Linked DNA regions of Notamacropus eugenii. The protein of the gene in region 1 purifies or fractionates together with the protein of each later gene. This does not show direct contact. Links are inferred from orthologs where the notes say so. Each region holds a gene or a part of one and is shown on either strand. Other genes may lie near its edges.

Region 1 (7,979 bases):
TTCGTGATGCAGAATGAGACAAATATTTTTGGACATTGCCAATGTGGAAATCTGTTTTGCTTATCAACATATTTGTTATAAGGATTTCCTGGGGGGAGGGAAGAGAAAATAAATGCTTATTAATTTAAAAATTACATTAAAAAAGGACCTTCCTTCCGCCAAGGTGAGGCAGCCCTACCTAGACACCAGCTTTCCCCTCACCCCCCAAGACCTCCTACTTGCTTTCACTTCAGCTAAAAACTCAAACCAAGACCACAGAGCTAACTAACAGTTACCCCAACAGCCCTCAAACATCGCAGAGCTTTTCGGAAGAAGCATTTAAAGCATGACCCACTTATGATCTCCAAGTGCTTTCAGAGACAAGAGGAAAGGAGGAGGGTTCTTATTCCCACCCTACAGAAGTGGGGTGGGAGTGGGCAGAGTAAGAAGGAGGAGTGGCAAATAGGTTCCAAACATATGTCAGACCAGATCAGGAGTTAGAGAATAGCCTTGTCTTAGCTACTGGTTAAGCATTCAAACTCTCCTCTCCAAGTGGAATGGAGAATGAGTTACGTCTACAACCATGACAGGTCCAAGAATCTTTACCACCTGGTACCTAAAGAAGTCACAGGGTGATTTCTATGCTGCCTTCTCAGAATCCTTATCTAGGCACAAACATTTCAAACATTCCTTTACTTACGGAAGTTCTACCTATAACAGCCATTGTCCCCAATATCATTTACTCTAGTTCTTAGTAAGATCCAGTATCATGTACTTTTCCCTTGGCCCCTCACAGAGTTCAGTTATTGAAGTATGAAGGCCCTTGCTATATGGCATTGTCACAGCTGAAGGACAGATACCAAGAATCATGCCACAGAGAGGAGGTTCCAGAGTAATACTACTTCTATCTATTCTAGACCCATTTGTACCTAGTTTTGAAGAAACAAGTGGGCATGGCCTTTAAACTTCAATGTGCACTTTGCAAGGACAGGGATCATTTCTTCTCCTGTCTTTATAGCTTGGTTATGAAGCTACCTCCATAGACTTGAGAGTTGAGAGTCTCAAAATCTCAAATCGGCCACCGACCAACAGTGCAAATCACTGTTCTCTGGGCCTCAGGAGCCTCATCTGTGAAATGGTGATGATACTATCTTGTAAGATTGCTGTGAGAAAAGCACTTTATAAACTATAAAGTCATACATAAATGTGACTTATCATTATTATCATTATATACCTAAACAAGTAGCTTAGAATCAAACGGAAGTGCATGTAAAAGCCCTTTATAGATGGAAAAGTACTACATAAATTTAAGTTTTATTATTAACAAGGGACATTTAACTAGCACTTTGCAAAGTACTCCACATACATTATAATGCTTGGCCCTGTGAGCCAAGTAGGCCAAGTATTATTATCCCTGTTTTATAGATAAGGAAGAGAAGCTCAGAGAGATTAAGTGACTTACCCATGTACACAGAGTTTCAAAGTGTCAGAGGCAGGATTTGAACATAGGTCTTCCTAATTCCACATCAAGCACTCTATCTACACCACCTCCCTTTTGAGCAGGGTAGAAAAAAACACAACATATTATAGTCTGACGGGAGATACAAGATTTCTAATACATGGAAAAGAGAATTACATCAACAAGTTTCACGAGATTCCTGAGTAGTATAGAATGTAGCACAGGATGGAGAGGTTACTATGAGCTGAGGTGGTCAGGACCTGAGGCTAGGTTTTAAAGGAAAAATTCAACTAAAAATGCAAAAAAGGACTTCGTCAACAAAGTTAGGTAAATTCTTCAACCTATGGTTTCTGCTCATACCTTCCTTCACCCCTCTCTTACCTGTGGGGCCTTCAAGAAGCAGCTCAAATGCTGTCATCTATGAGAAGGATTCCCTGTTTTCTCATTTAGAAGTGATTATTCTCTTTTTATCTCATAGCATTTACATACTTCTTCAGTCCTTCAAAAGTTGCTATGGCAAAATACCCAGACTCTCCAGGTGATGGGCCTCTTTTGCACTAAGCTGAACTTTAGTTAATAAAAGTATATAGTTGGAGCTGTACTCATACTCCTTCTAGTTTGGCAAGGCCCGCCAGAAGCCTTGGTAGGGCCTGCAAGGAAACCAGAGTTGACAGGGCAACCTGGTGTAAATGAAAGGGACCTGGATGGAGGAGTACAGACAGCAGACTTGGAATGCTGGAGAGACGAGGGGCTATGTACCCTTGGGTGCCTCAGCCATCTGTCAAACACTGCCTCCAACATGATCCTTACACCACCTCCGGGGATGACTGGGAAAAGGGCTTGGTAAAAAAGAGACAAGCGGAAGGTTTTTATTACAAGGCACTAGACGCATCTGCGTGTACTTTCATCTCCCTGCTACGATCCCCGAAGGCAGGGGCTCTTCCTGTTCGCGATCCTATCCGATCCTCCCGGCAGACCCACTCAGCAGGGGGCCCGCTCTCACCCGAGAAGGTGCTGACCGAGTCCTTCTTGCGCAGGTCGAAGCACTTCATGTAGCCGTCCTGGGAGCCGCTGAGCAGCATGTAGGCCTCGGTGGGGTGGAAGCACACCTTGTTGACCGTGCGCTTGTGCTCGGTGAACAGCTGGTCCTGCTTGTTGCGCGACGGCTTGCCCAGGTTCCAGGTGACCACCACGCCGTTGGTGGCCGCCGTGGCCAGCAGGTTCTCGTCCATCTGGTGCCACACCACGTCGGCGCAGCTGAAGTTGAGCGAGGGCTTGCGGCCCACGCGCAGGTTCAGCTTCTCCACGAACTGCTCCTCCTCGATGGCGTAGATCTTGAAGATGTTGCGGCCGGCCACCACCACCTGGGCGGCGTCCCGGCACACGCTGATGGCGTTGGCCGGGGCGTCCAGGTGGCAGTACATGGTGCGGCCCGTCAGGGTGTTGCCCCCCAGGGCCGTGGTGACGCGGGCCATCTTCTCCATGCGGGCTCAGCTCCCGACGGGTGCCCCGGCCGTGAGCCCTCCGCCTGGGTCAGGCACGTCCGAGGGTGTCATGGGGAGCGGGGGCCCCGGGGGGCGAAGGGGGAAGCGGCCCGCGAGGCGGCTGCTCTCCGGCCACGAGAGGGGGGGCCCGAGGGCGGGGGCCTGGGCTGAGGGCTGCGATGGAGCGGACCCACAGCGGAGGGGAGGGGAGAGAAGAGGAGGCTGGCGCGGCCCAGCGGGGCCCCCGACCCCTCACTCACCCAACCGGCTCCGCCCGTCCCAGCGCCCCAGCGGAAGTGATGGAGCCCCGGCGAGAGGCCTGGCACCGGAAGTGGTCCCTCCCCAAGGAGTCGCCGTCGCCGCCACCGCGGGCCGGAGATAAGCGTTCCGGCTCGGGGAGACTGGGAGGCGGGGATACCGCGGAGGAAGGGCGGGAGGAGGGGCCCACGGTCCAGGCACAGCCCAGGTGGCGGCCCCAGGTCCGCCCCAGCCGCAGGAGTCCTCGGAAGCCAGTCCGAATGCTTCCCCTTGGACCGCTGTCGACCTGCCACTGCCTGGGCCTCAGTTTCCCCTCCGATCCCTTAGGTCCTTTCCATCTCTGACATCCGGTGTTTCATGTTCTAAGGGTCACTTCCGGCCCTGCCGGGCCCGGCTCCGTGTCCTCAGGCTCTCCGCCTTAAGATCCCTCCGGGCTCCGACGCGGGCCTGGGTCCTCAGAGGGCCCCTCGGGGGTCCGCCTCCCCCCATGCCGGGCTCAAGCCCAGCCGCCCGAGTACACGGTGAAATCCAGAGAAAGGGCTCAGAGGAGAGGACCTGGGCACGAGTCCGCGGGGGACGTGGCACGGTGGGCCCCCGCATGCAGCGTGGGGCCGAGCTGACGTCTGCAGCCCCTCCCCCCACCCTTCCTCCAAGGGGGTCCTAACGCCTGGCCAGAGGAGAAGATGGAGCCGGAGGCCCGGAGCTGGGCCGCCCTGCCTCCTCCCTTAGTCTGCAAGACGGGGTTCTCAGCTGCAGGTCGTCCATCGCTGGGGGGAGCCGCGGGACCCCAGGCTTTGTGTCCAGGCCTTGACCCCTCTCCGCCATGCACCAGTTCCACGATGAACACGCAGCGCTGGCCAAGAAGCCCGCCTATCCAATTCTGTAGGCAGACGGAAGTCAGAAAAAGTATATCTGTGTGTATATAAATTATATACATATGTGTGCGGTGTGTATGTACGTATATGTATGTATGCACATATGTATGCATATATAATGGGTAATACGAGTGAAGGAGCTCTCCCATTGGGAGTAAGATAACAGCTCCATTGAAAAAGAGTACCCTAGATCTCATCTGAGGGAAATTTTCCCTCCTTTAGTCTTTAGTGTAGCAAGCTGGAGATAGAGACATGATAGAGACTGTCAGTTCCTCTCAATGCCAGCTTCTTCCTAGAGTTTTGCTTTTAAAAATCCTTTTTTCCTGCCACCTACCTGAAGTGAGGTTGGTCTCATTCATCTGTCTATCTAAGCTGGAAACCCAAAGATACCTGAAGAGACTTGAAAAGAACAAGCCTCTCCTCTCTTCCTCTCTCACTATCTCTGCCCAGGCCCCTTGCATAAGACTAGATCACTGATCTTCTCCAATGAGGGGAGAGTCACAAACCAATGGACATTGGGTCTTGGGTTTCTCTAGAGTGGCAAGAGTGCTGGATTTGGAATTAGAAGGCTTATATTGGAACCCTAACTCTGATGTCTCTTTGACCATGGGCAAGTCACTTTATATCTCTCATCCTCAGTGTCCTCATGTGTAAGATGAGGGGGCTGAATTAGATGACCTATGAGAGCCCTTCCACTTCTAGATCCTATGATTTTAGAAAGCATGTTGCTTTGTTATGTCACAGTTAGAACACATCTCAAGTAATTTGTCCATTTCTGGATATCACAAATTTGTATCTGGGGCATCAACAAGCTAGAAGAATGTGGCCAGAGGAGAGTGACTAAGATGATGAAGGAATTGGATGCCAGGCTATGTGGAGATGCGTGACTGAAGGAAGCACAGATAGCCTAGAAAATAGAAGACAGAGGAACATAATAATTCTCTTCAAGTATTTAAAAGGCTCTCTCTTAAACTTGCTCCACTTTCCCTAAGAGGATACAACTAGAGAGAATAAGAGGAATTTATGGGAGACATATTTTTAAGTTAAATTTTTTTCTTCAATTCTGAACTGAGCATAAAAAGAGGGTTGTATTGAGTCTCCATTACATACAGGTTGTTTATCTCTTTAAGGGTGTAATAAATTCAACATGTTACTTTCAAAGCTGTCCTACTTGTCTGTGATTCTTTCTAGCTGTCCCGTTCTCTATGCATTTGAAAAACATGTTTCAAAGACCTTTCTTTTGTTCATTTTTTTTTTTTTTGCACAACTCTACCCTTAGATTTAGGTCTTGATTTTTAGTCCAATGGTCTTATCTTTTCTCTCTCCCTAGTCCTGAGTCTGCTTCTTCCTTAGCTCTTTTGTGAACTCCATGGGTAGTTACTGTACTGTAGGGAACCTTCTGTCCATTCTGGTTATTTCCCTAATCATCCATTCCTGGTCATCCTTTGAGAAATTCTGGGGCAGCTCTTTCCCCCAAAGGAAGCTCCTTTCTGTCTCCTGGGCTGTGGATCACAGAGAGGGCAGCATCAATGGCGTGGGTGAAGGATTCCACATGGGAAACCCAACACAGCCCTTAGATGGTAAACTCTTGAGACAACATGGGAGAGTGATGGGCTGACCCTAGATACTTTAGAAAAAGCTGAAGGTCTTAAGAGGCAAAGGAATAGAAATACTGGAATATAAAGGGGAAGGCCTTTGAATGCAAAATCAAATATTGATACCTTAGGAAGGGTCAAAGTCTTAAATAGCTAAATTGTCTGTGAAAAGACCGGCAAAAGAAATTAATGGTCAAGATAGGCAAATGTCACATTTTTATCTTTGCTGTTAGTCACTTCAGAAGAAGTCTGGGAAGTGTAACTGAATTGGGATTGATTGTTGTGAGCCAAGGTGGAATACTGAGTGGCTTTGAATCAGGAACAGGAGAAATTAGAATCTCCTTTCCTACTTCCTTCCTAGAGGTGACCAACCTCATAACTGAGGTTCCAAGGAAGTAAAAAAAATGGAGAATCTTGGTGCACTAAGTGGTACGGTACATAGAGCAATGGCCCTGGAGTCAAGAGTTCAAATCCAGCCTCTGACACTTGATGCTTACTAGCTGTGTGACCCTGGGCAAATCACTTAGCTCCAGTTGCCTCACGAGAAAAAGGAGAATCTTCTGCCACTTCTAGGCTATGGGAAGTTGTCTCAACTGAAAGAGCACAATAGAACTACAGCTAAAAAAGCATCGAACACTCCAGCTGAAGCAAATGCAGTATCATCCAACTGAGCCAGTGACTGAAGGTGGTGATATATTGTAGCTGTCCATCAAAGAGTGATGTCCAGCAGATAAACCCTTCCACCATTCCCAGAAGAGCCTACTCAGGGCCCAATGGTGGGGCAAACTGCCTGGCCCATCCAGCCGACATGCCACACCCTGCAAGAAACTGACGCAGCTGAGCAGTAGAACAATTCATCCATCATTGATGTTAGGTCTCACAGCAAACTCCATGAAAACCTTTAGGTTTTAGAAGAAAAGATGAGGATCTGCAGTTCTGAATTGCCTTGGCTACATGTGTTTTCTCCAGATAGGCCTCACTATCATTTGTCAATCCATGACCACTCTTTCCCCCATGGACTCTGTGAATATTTGTAGGAGAGTATACCCCAGGTTTTTGGAGAAACACTATTCTTGCTGTGCCATTTGAGTAAATTCTTTTGCTAATGAACTGAGTCTATTGGATGATTGTTAGGGAAAATCACACTAGTGGGGACTCCTGAGCTCATGTTTTAAGGATAGTCACCCACAGAATTACTCCTAGAATTCTAGAAGTAGTAATAGCTGCTGCTCTGGGGACCCAACCAGACAGTACCAGCGAATACGGGGGGAGTGACCAGGGATATGCTGTTATATGTTTAGCAACAGATTCTGAAAATGGGATAAGTTTAATCTGCCTTTTTAACATTTCCCCCATTACTTTTGGACCAAATCCATTACCTGTTTCTGTACTGCCTGAGTTAAGAATGACTTTTACATTTTAAAATAAAATTTTATTGTATTTAAAAATCTAAAAACCATTCTAAGTTCAAAGGCCATATAAAAACAAGAAGTGGGCCATATTGGATCCTCAGGCTATAGTTTGCCAATCCCTGGTACAGACAATCAACAAAACAATAGATCAAGTCCAGTTATATAAAGTCTGCTGATTTCTGAGGTGTAGATGCTTACGGGTACTAAAAATTTAACAATTGGCTCTCAGGAGTCAGCATACCCCTGGAGTGAGCCCAGAGTGGGTGTGATAGTGGAAAAAGCAATATATGATGAGTCAGGAAACCTATATTCTAGTCTTGGTTACACTACTACATAACCTTGAGTACGTCATTTAACTAGAATTGTAGAACATTTGGTTAGTCAGTCAGAAGGGGCCTGAAGCTCAAGGGTGACCTATCTTGTACCTGCACAAGAATCCTCTCTGCAACATCCTTGGAAGACCTTGAAGTAATGGGAGATTTGCTTCTATCTCAAAGAACCAATTTCATTTTTGGGCAGCTAATTTCGAGGAAATTTCCCTTATAACTCAGCCTCTGTAACTTATAACCATTCTGTCTGGGGTCAGACAGAGCAAATATGATCCCTCTTCCACAGAAAAGCCCTTCAAAGATTTGAAGACAGCTATGGTAATGCCCCTAAGTCCTTTTTACCCCCTATTATCCTCACTCAGGTCCTTCAGCCAGTCCTCATAATGTGTAATTTCCATTAATGTCTTCACCTTGTCACCTTCTTCTGGAAATACTCCAACTACTCAATGTTCTCCCTAAAATATGGTGCCCAGAACTAGACACAAAACAAATTTGCAGAATGTCAGAGCTTGGAAAATATCTAGTCCAAAAGCCTTATTCTACATATAAGGAAAATGAAGCCCAAAGTGGGGGAGTGAGTTTGTCCAA
Region 2 (7,897 bases), about 1.4 Mb from region 1:
TGCATTTCTCTTTCTCACCCATTAACTTTATTTTTTTAGATATCATCCCATCATATTCAACTTATACTGCACTCTTTGTCTATGTATATTCCTTCTAACTACCCTAATAATCATTATTTGTTTCATTGTTTTCTACTGACCTACCATCATGTTAACAATCATTGTCAAGCTGGACTAAGAAAGATGGCAGATTGGAACAATTTTATTGTTTTGTTACTGATGTTGATGTATGGGGGCTTGCTCAGCTCTTTCTAATGAAACCTAGAGACCGAATCAACCCCCAAAATAGTATAATGATTTGGGGGTTTTGCCCAGTACTACAGATAACAGTAAACGATCAAACAACTGACTGATCTGTCAAAATGGTTGAAAGAGTTAGACCAACTCTTTCTTTTTTAAAAATTTAATTAATTTGTTTTCAGTTTCCAACAATCACTTCCATAAGTTTTAAATTTTCTCCCTCTCCCTGCTTCCTCCCCGAGATGGCATGAAATCTTTTTTTTTTTAATTTTTATTTATTTATTTATTTTAAATTTAACTTTTAACATTCATTTTCACAAAATTTTGGGTTCCAAATTTTCTCCCCTTTTGTCCCCTCCCCTCACCCCAAAACACCAAGCATTCTAATTGCCCCTATCACCAATCTGCCCTCTCTTCTATCATCCCTCTCTGCCCTTGTCTCCAACTTCTCTTTTGTCCTGTAGGGCCAAATAACTTTCTATACCACTTTACCTGTATTTCTTGTTTCCTAGTAGCAAGAACAGTACTCGACAGTTGTTCCTAAAACTTTGAGTTCCAACTTCTCTTCCTCCCTCCCTCCCCACCCCTTCCCTTTGGAAGGCAAGCAATTCAATATAGGCCATATCTGTGTAGTTTTGCAAATGACTTCCATAATAGTCGTGTTGTAGAAGACTAACTATATTTCCCTCCATCCTATCCTGTCCCCCATTACTTCTATTCTCTCTTTTGATCCTGTCCCTCCCCATGAGTGTTGACCTCAAATTGCTCCCTCCTCCCAATGCTCTCCCTTCCATCATCCCCCCCACCCTGCTTATCCCCTTCTCCCCCACTTTCCTGTATTGTAAGATAGGTTTTCATACCAAAATGAGTGTGCATTTTATTCCTTCCTTTAGTGGAATGTGATGAGAGTAAACTTCATGTTTTTCTCTCACCTCCCCTCTTTTTCCCTCCACTAAAAAGTCTTTTGCTTGCCTCTTTTATGAGAGATAATTTGCCCCATTCCATTTCTCCCTTTCTCCTACCAATATATTTCTCACTGCTTGATTTCATTTTTTTAAGATATGATCCCATCCTCTTCAATTCACTCTGTGCACTCTGTCTCTATGTGTGTGTGCGTGTGCATGTGCATGTGTGTGTGTGTAATCCCACCCACTACCCAGATACTGAAAAGTTTCAAGAGTTACAAATATTGTCTTTCCACGTAGGAATGTAAATAGTTCAACTTTAGTAAGTCCCTTATGACTTCTCTTTACTGTTAATCCTTTCATGCTTCTCTTCATTCTTGTGTTTGAAAGTCAAATTTTCTTTTCAGCTCTGGTCTTTTCATCAAGAATGCTTGAAAGTCCTCTATTTCATTGAAAGACCAATTTTTCCCCTGAAGTATTATACTCAGTTTTGCTGGGTAGGTGATTCTTGGTTTTAGTCCTAGTTCCTTTGACTTCTGGAATATCCTATTCCATGCCCTTCGATCCCTTAATGTAGAAGCTGCTAGATCTTGTGTTATCCTGATTGTATTTCCACAGTACTTGAATTGTTTCTTTCTAGCTGCTTGCAATATTTTCTCCTTGACCTGGGAACTCTGGAATTTGGCCACAATATTCCTAGGAGTTTCTCTTTTTGGATCTCTTTCAGGTGGTGTTCTGTGGATTCCTTGAATACTTATTTTGCCCTCTGGTTCTAAAATCTCAGGGCAGTTTTCCTTGATAATTTCATGAAAGATAACATCTAGGCTCTTTTTTTGATCATGGCTTTCAGGTAGTCCCATAATTTTTAAATTGTCACTCCTGGATCTATTTTCCAGGTCAGTTGTTTTTCCAATGAGATATTTCACATTATCTTCCATTTTTTTCATTCTTTTGGTTTTGTTTTGTGATTTCTTGGTTTCTCATAAAGTCATTGGCCTCCATCTGTTCCATTCTAATTTTTAAAGAACTATTTTCTTCAGTGAGCTTTTGAGCCTCCTTTTCCATTTGGCTAATTCTGCTTTTGAAAGCATTCTTCTCCTCATTGGCTTTTTGAACCTCTTTTGCCAGTTGAGTTAGCCTATTTTTCAAGGTGTTATTTTCTTCAGCATTTTTTTTGGTCTCTTTTAGCAGGGTGTGGACCTGCTTTTCATGCTTTACTTGCATCTCTCTCATTTCTCTTCCCAGTTTTTCCTCCATCTCTCTAACTTGATTTTCAAAATCCTTTTTGAGCTCTTCCATGGCCTGAGCCCATTGGGTGGGCTGGGATACAGAAGCCTTGACTTCTGTGTCTTTCCCTGATGGTAAGCATTGTTCTTCCTCATCAGAAAGGAAGGGAGGAATTATCTGTTCACCAAGAAAGTAACCTTCTATGGTCTTATTTTTTTTCCCTTTTCGGGGCATTTTCCCAGACAGTGACTTGACTTCTGAGTATTCTCTTCACACCCACTTAGCCTCCAGATCCGCCCAGCCAGCACTTGGGGTCTGAGATTCAAATGCTGCTTCCCAGCTTCAGGGCTTTTGGTGGGGGCAGGGCTGCTATTCAATGTGAGATTAAGTGCAGGTGCTCAGGTGGGGGCAGGGACATCTCACGGGGCTCAGTTCCCTCAGGGGGTTTATGCAGAGACCTTCAACAATGGATCCAGGCTCCTGCCTGCTTGGGGAGCCCCGGTCTGCTCCCACCTCCGCTGCTGCCTCCTGAGAGGGCCTGAGTTATGGGGGGGACCCCACTCCCCTCTCGGCAAACTGAGAAGACCCTCTCACCAACCTTTGGGGCCCGTGGGTGGAGGGACCTGCGCGGCAGCTGGAGATTCCATTCCTGAAGCCCACTAGAATCTGCTCTTCTTGGTGCCGCACGGCCAAGGCAAGGCTAGGCTCGGCTCCGGGTCCGGGATGCAACAGACCTTTTGCAAGAGGTTTTCAGGGCTCTCTGGAACAGAAATCTCCTCTGCTCTGTTGCTCTGTGGCTTCTGCTGCTCCAGAATTTGTTGGGAATTCTTTTTTACAGATATTTTATGGGCTGTGGGTTCAGAGCTAGCGTATGTGTGTCTTTCTACTCCGCCATCTTGGCTCCGCCCCCCCCCCCCCATGGCATGCAATCTTGTGTGGGTTCTACACTTACATTAGACCAACTATTTCACTATTAGGGCATTTTAAGGCACACAAAATATCAGTTGGCTAGTTGTTTGCCAAAAAACTTGTAAACTATTAAAAAAAAAAAGTTCATGAGAGGAGGCTGGAAAGGTAGAGCCACATTATCAAGGCTCCTGAATTTCCTACTATGAAATCTGAATTTATTTATTAGGCAATACAATTCCTTGAAAGGATTTTGAAGCCAGTATCAGACTGCAGGGACAGATGGCCAGAAATCTATTGGGAGGCCACTGCGGTAACAGGACGTGTGTTAAGGTGGTAGTCGTGGAAAGGGGTAATAAGAACACACACTTAGAAGTGGCAGGCATTTAAGAGGTCGCCTGGCTCACCCTCCCATTTCACAGGTGAGGTGACTTACTTGTGGTTACACCTCATTTCAACCCAGGTCTTCTGGCTCAAAGTCCAGCACGCTTTCTCCAGCACATCGCAGTGAGAAACTTAGGAATGCCTTTGAATGACCCCGCCGGCCCGGAGAGAAGGTGCTTCTCCAGGTGATGACCAAGGGCGCAGGGTCCAGCGCTCTGGGGGCTGGGGGCTTTCCATTGCACAGACCACACTGAAGCAGGCTTCCAGGGGGCCCCTCCAACGCGATCCCCCGCTTCCTTCATGACCCAGCAAACCATTCCACCTTCCGCAAGCTTTTCCTGCCCCCCCCCCCCCATGGTGGTGCCTTTCCTGGACGAAATCTCCAATTTATCCTGATTATAGCCTATTATCTGTGGGGTAGTTCGCATGCTACCCCCCGCTGGGAGCTCCCCGAGGGCAGGCAATGTCTTTCCCCCCAGCCCTCAGCACCCGGCTCATCGAATGCTTCCACGTGGGCCGCTACCTAGACCGGCCCCCCTCGTCTTCCAGACGCCGACAATAGGGCCCAGAGAGCGGAAGCCCATCCCAATGCGGAGCTCTTTCTACTCCACCGCGGGGTCTCTGCTGGGGGCTGGTTGTGGCCTTGCTGGGGTGGGGGTGGAGGGATGCATTTTTTAGGGAGCCGAGCAGCTCAAAAGGGGAGCGGGAGACCCCCCAAAACACAAACACAGCCAGGCTTTAAGGGTCACTTCCGGTCGCCTGCGCAGACTCTCGCCGACGAGCCACTGCGCAAGCGCGGGACTCGGCCCCCTCCGGCGGGAGGAGCGGCGTTGCTAGGGCAACCGCTCGAGGCCTACGGAAGCCTCGCGAGACTAGTTGGAGGTGAGAGGCAATTCCGGACGTGACTCCCGGGCCCCGGGTGAGGGCAAGTTGACATTTCCGTCTCCTGCGGCCTCCGAGGTTCCCGGGCCCAAGATTACGTCTTTCCCGAGAGGCTCCGTTACTCGCCCTCCGCTCTGAGTCCCTCCTCTCCACCGACCCCTCCTCAGCGCCCCAAGTGCCCCTCAAGCCTTCGGGCCCGGCCTCGTTCCCTCCCGCCCCCTCCGCCTTAGGAGCCCCTGTGCCCGAAGCCCCGCGCTCCCAGGCCTCCTGCGTCGGCCTGCTCCAAGCCTCCGCTCTTCTACCCTCCAAGCCCCGGGCCCCACCCCAGCTCACACCGAACCCCCGACCTCCCCCTTCCATCGCCCTCAAGCTCCACCCCTCCCTCCCCCGAATTCCTAGCCCCAAGGAGGCCTGGTTCTGGTCCAGCCCAGAGCGCACCTTCCGGTCCCTCCTCCAAACGCCCCCAGCTCGGTCCAGGATGGGGGACAACACCAGCCCCATCAGTGTGATCCTGGTCAGTTCAGGGAGCAGGGGCAATAAGTTACTGTTCAGGTACCCATTTCAGAGAAGCCAGGAACACCCTGCGTCCCAGACAAGTAAGTGCGCCCGTGGTGGCGGTGTGGGATGGGGCTCCCGGGCCGCTGGGGACGGGGCCCCAGGTCTGCCCTTCCCAGCCTTGGCTGCGAGCACCGAAGAACCTCGGTGGTTTGTGTAGGGACTGAACAGCGAGCCCCCTGGGGTGAAAACAGGGTATCTGGCGTCTCTGAGACTCCTCCGAGGGGCAGACCACCCAGGAATTAAAAGTGACTGACGTCATTGTGATCGTCCTCCAAGTGAAGCTCGTGTCTCTCCCTCTTTCTTTTAAAGGTTACAGATAAATAATATTTTTCAGCCTGAACCACAAAGCAATGAAAAAATTTAAAAAAGTTACTTTTGTTCTCTGGAAAACTTTCTAACCCTCATGTATTGGTCTTAAAAAAACTTTTATTGGTGATTCTTTTTGAAGAAAATGTATTTTTCTTCATATTCCACATTGTGACAGGCAGTTTGTTTAATGGTCACAGATCATAGAGCCTGATATTCCAAATGATGATAATAAATAAGCTTCCTTTCTAAATGAATTCCATACTTATTTCAGAGAAGACTGTTCATGAGTGATTCTTAGTCATGTATTGAAAAGTTTTGAGAATGAAAAAGTTTCTAAATTGATTGAAGTCTAAAAACTACATTTCAGTAACTGGTACAGTGAGAAGAACACTGGCTTTGGATGAAGTCAGAGAGCCTGGGTTTAAATCACAGCTCTGATAGATAACAACATATGTGACTTTGGGCAGATCCCTTAACCACCACCAGTGCCTCAATTTCCTCATCTGTGATGGTAGGGGGTCTAAAACTAGATAGGTCTAGAGCAGTAGCATCAAACTCAAATAGAAAAGGGGGCCATTAAATTGTACATAAGGATGCCTAGGAAAATCTCGTATTAACTTTTTATTTTGTTAAATATTTCCCAGTTACATGTTAATAGGTTAGGACCACATGCAGGACTGTGGCAGTGGCAGGTCAAGTGTTTTGACACCTCTGGTTTAGAGACTAAATGGCCTCTGAGGTCTTTTCCAAATCTGAAATTCTATCATATGTCTTGTGGATTTTTCCCTTTGTTTGGTTGTTTCTGTCGTGTCCAATTCTCCATGACCCCATTTGGGGTTTTCTTGGCAGGAATACTGGGGCAGTTTGCCATTTTCTTCTCCAGCTCATTTTACAGATGAGAAAACTGAGGCCAGCAGCTGAAGTGACTTGTCCAGAGTCACATAGCTTGTAATTGTCTTGAGTCCAGATTTGAACTCAGGAAGATAAGGCTTTCTGACTCCAAGTGTGGCACTCTGTTCTCTGTGTGCCTAGCTTGCCCCCATTTCTTGCGTAAGAAAACATTTTTTTGGAAAAGTCTCAGTAGTTAGCTGAGTGTTGTATTTCTACTTTGTAATATTAGAATTTTCTTCAAAGAATGTTTTAAAAATTAATATGCTATTATGAAATTGTCAGAGTTTTCATAATCAACTGTACTTTCCACTGTGGGAAAACATTTTATTCAACTTACCAACTCAACATGCCATTTCTTTCTAGAACTATTCTTGTGTTCTGATAATTGTATGGATTTGTAATATCATTGATATGGATGCTCTCTCCCATAAGCAGATCTTAATCTTTCCGGGCTGCTTATCCTGTGAGGTTCTTAGCTATGTCCTCTCATAAATCTACCATAGGGGATTCACCCATTGTGCTCTGCACCTTCCTCTAGTTCTGGTCATTAGTTCTTAGGATCAGAGATTTAGAGTTGAAAGGGATGCTAGTGCCATCTAATCCAAACCCATCATTTTATAGATGACAAAGCTGAGTCCAGGAGAGGGAAAGTGACTTGGTCAAAGTCACATGGGTTGGAAGCCAGGATTTGAACACGTATTTGTTCTTTTGTACTCCTTGCCCTTAGGATATGTAAGCTGTGGAATGGCATCACCTATATAGGTCCAAGCACTGCATTTAAGAACTTCCTGTTGATTTTGTTTTACTGCTTACTTAACTCTATGAGTTTAGCCACATGTTAAAAACTATTTTATTTGAATCTTTTATTTTTACACCACCTTTCCCACATATTTTCCTCCCCTCTCATATCCTCCTACTCAGATAGCCATCCCATAGAACAGACAATTTTTTTAAAAACTAGTTTAACAACACATCAACTAAGTGCAATGTTCCACATCCATTGTCTTTCACTTCTGTGAAGAGAAGCTTGTCCACTTTTGTTGGTAACATGAAAGTAGGTAAGTAGCTAGTAAGTGTCTGAGGCTGGAATTGAATGTAAGTCTTTCTGATTCCGGGCCCAGCACTATCTACTGCACCACCATCTACTAAGATACAAAGCACTATTTTAGAGGGTATGGAGGATTTAAAATATATATATTTTATATATGTGGGAGGATATAGGGCAGGATGTGACTCCTGCCCTAAGGAGCTTTCATTCAACCTGGGATCATCATACTAATTATGCAGCATCAATGTTGTATGTATAATGTATACATTGTTGTATAGTATACAGTTATAGTGTATAATAGTACGCAATGCTAAATTGCATGGTATAGACTTTAAAGTTCTGTAAGGATTCTGGGTAGAAGGAGGCCATTGTAGGTTGAAAGGGTTAGGGAAGATGTCATTGTCCAGGTAGAACTTCTCAGAGTTCAGCCATCTTGTTGTCTGCAGACCTCGGGTGACTCCTTTCCTCTTTCACTATTCACTGTTATCAAATTCATTGTTTTTTAAAAACACTTTTGCCTGTGTCTGGGAAGTAGAAATGAAAAACA

The links. The genes of interacting proteins can lie anywhere in the genome.
Region 2: the proteins of WDR24 (region 1) and NPRL3 purify together in Homo sapiens (affinity purification with western blotting; 6 studies listed by BioGRID and IntAct, with this or other methods). This does not show direct contact. The link is inferred for Notamacropus eugenii from reciprocal best matches to the Homo sapiens genes WDR24 and NPRL3.

The regions. Positions count from the first base shown.
Region 1 is NC_092872.1:53,677,577-53,685,555, reverse strand, and holds the start of WDR24 (GATOR2 complex protein WDR24), read right to left. Parts: upstream 3,060-7,979; 5' UTR 2,923-3,059; coding exon 2,442-2,922; intron 1-2,441. UniProt on the Homo sapiens protein: Catalytic component of the GATOR2 complex, a multiprotein complex that acts as an activator of the amino acid-sensing branch of the mTORC1 signaling pathway. The GATOR2 complex indirectly activates mTORC1 through the inhibition of the GATOR1 subcomplex.
Region 2 is NC_092872.1:55,082,060-55,089,956, forward strand, and holds the start of NPRL3 (GATOR1 complex protein NPRL3), read left to right. Parts: upstream 1-4,603; 5' UTR 4,604-5,022; coding exon 5,023-5,140; intron 5,141-7,897. UniProt on the Homo sapiens protein: As a component of the GATOR1 complex functions as an inhibitor of the amino acid-sensing branch of the mTORC1 pathway.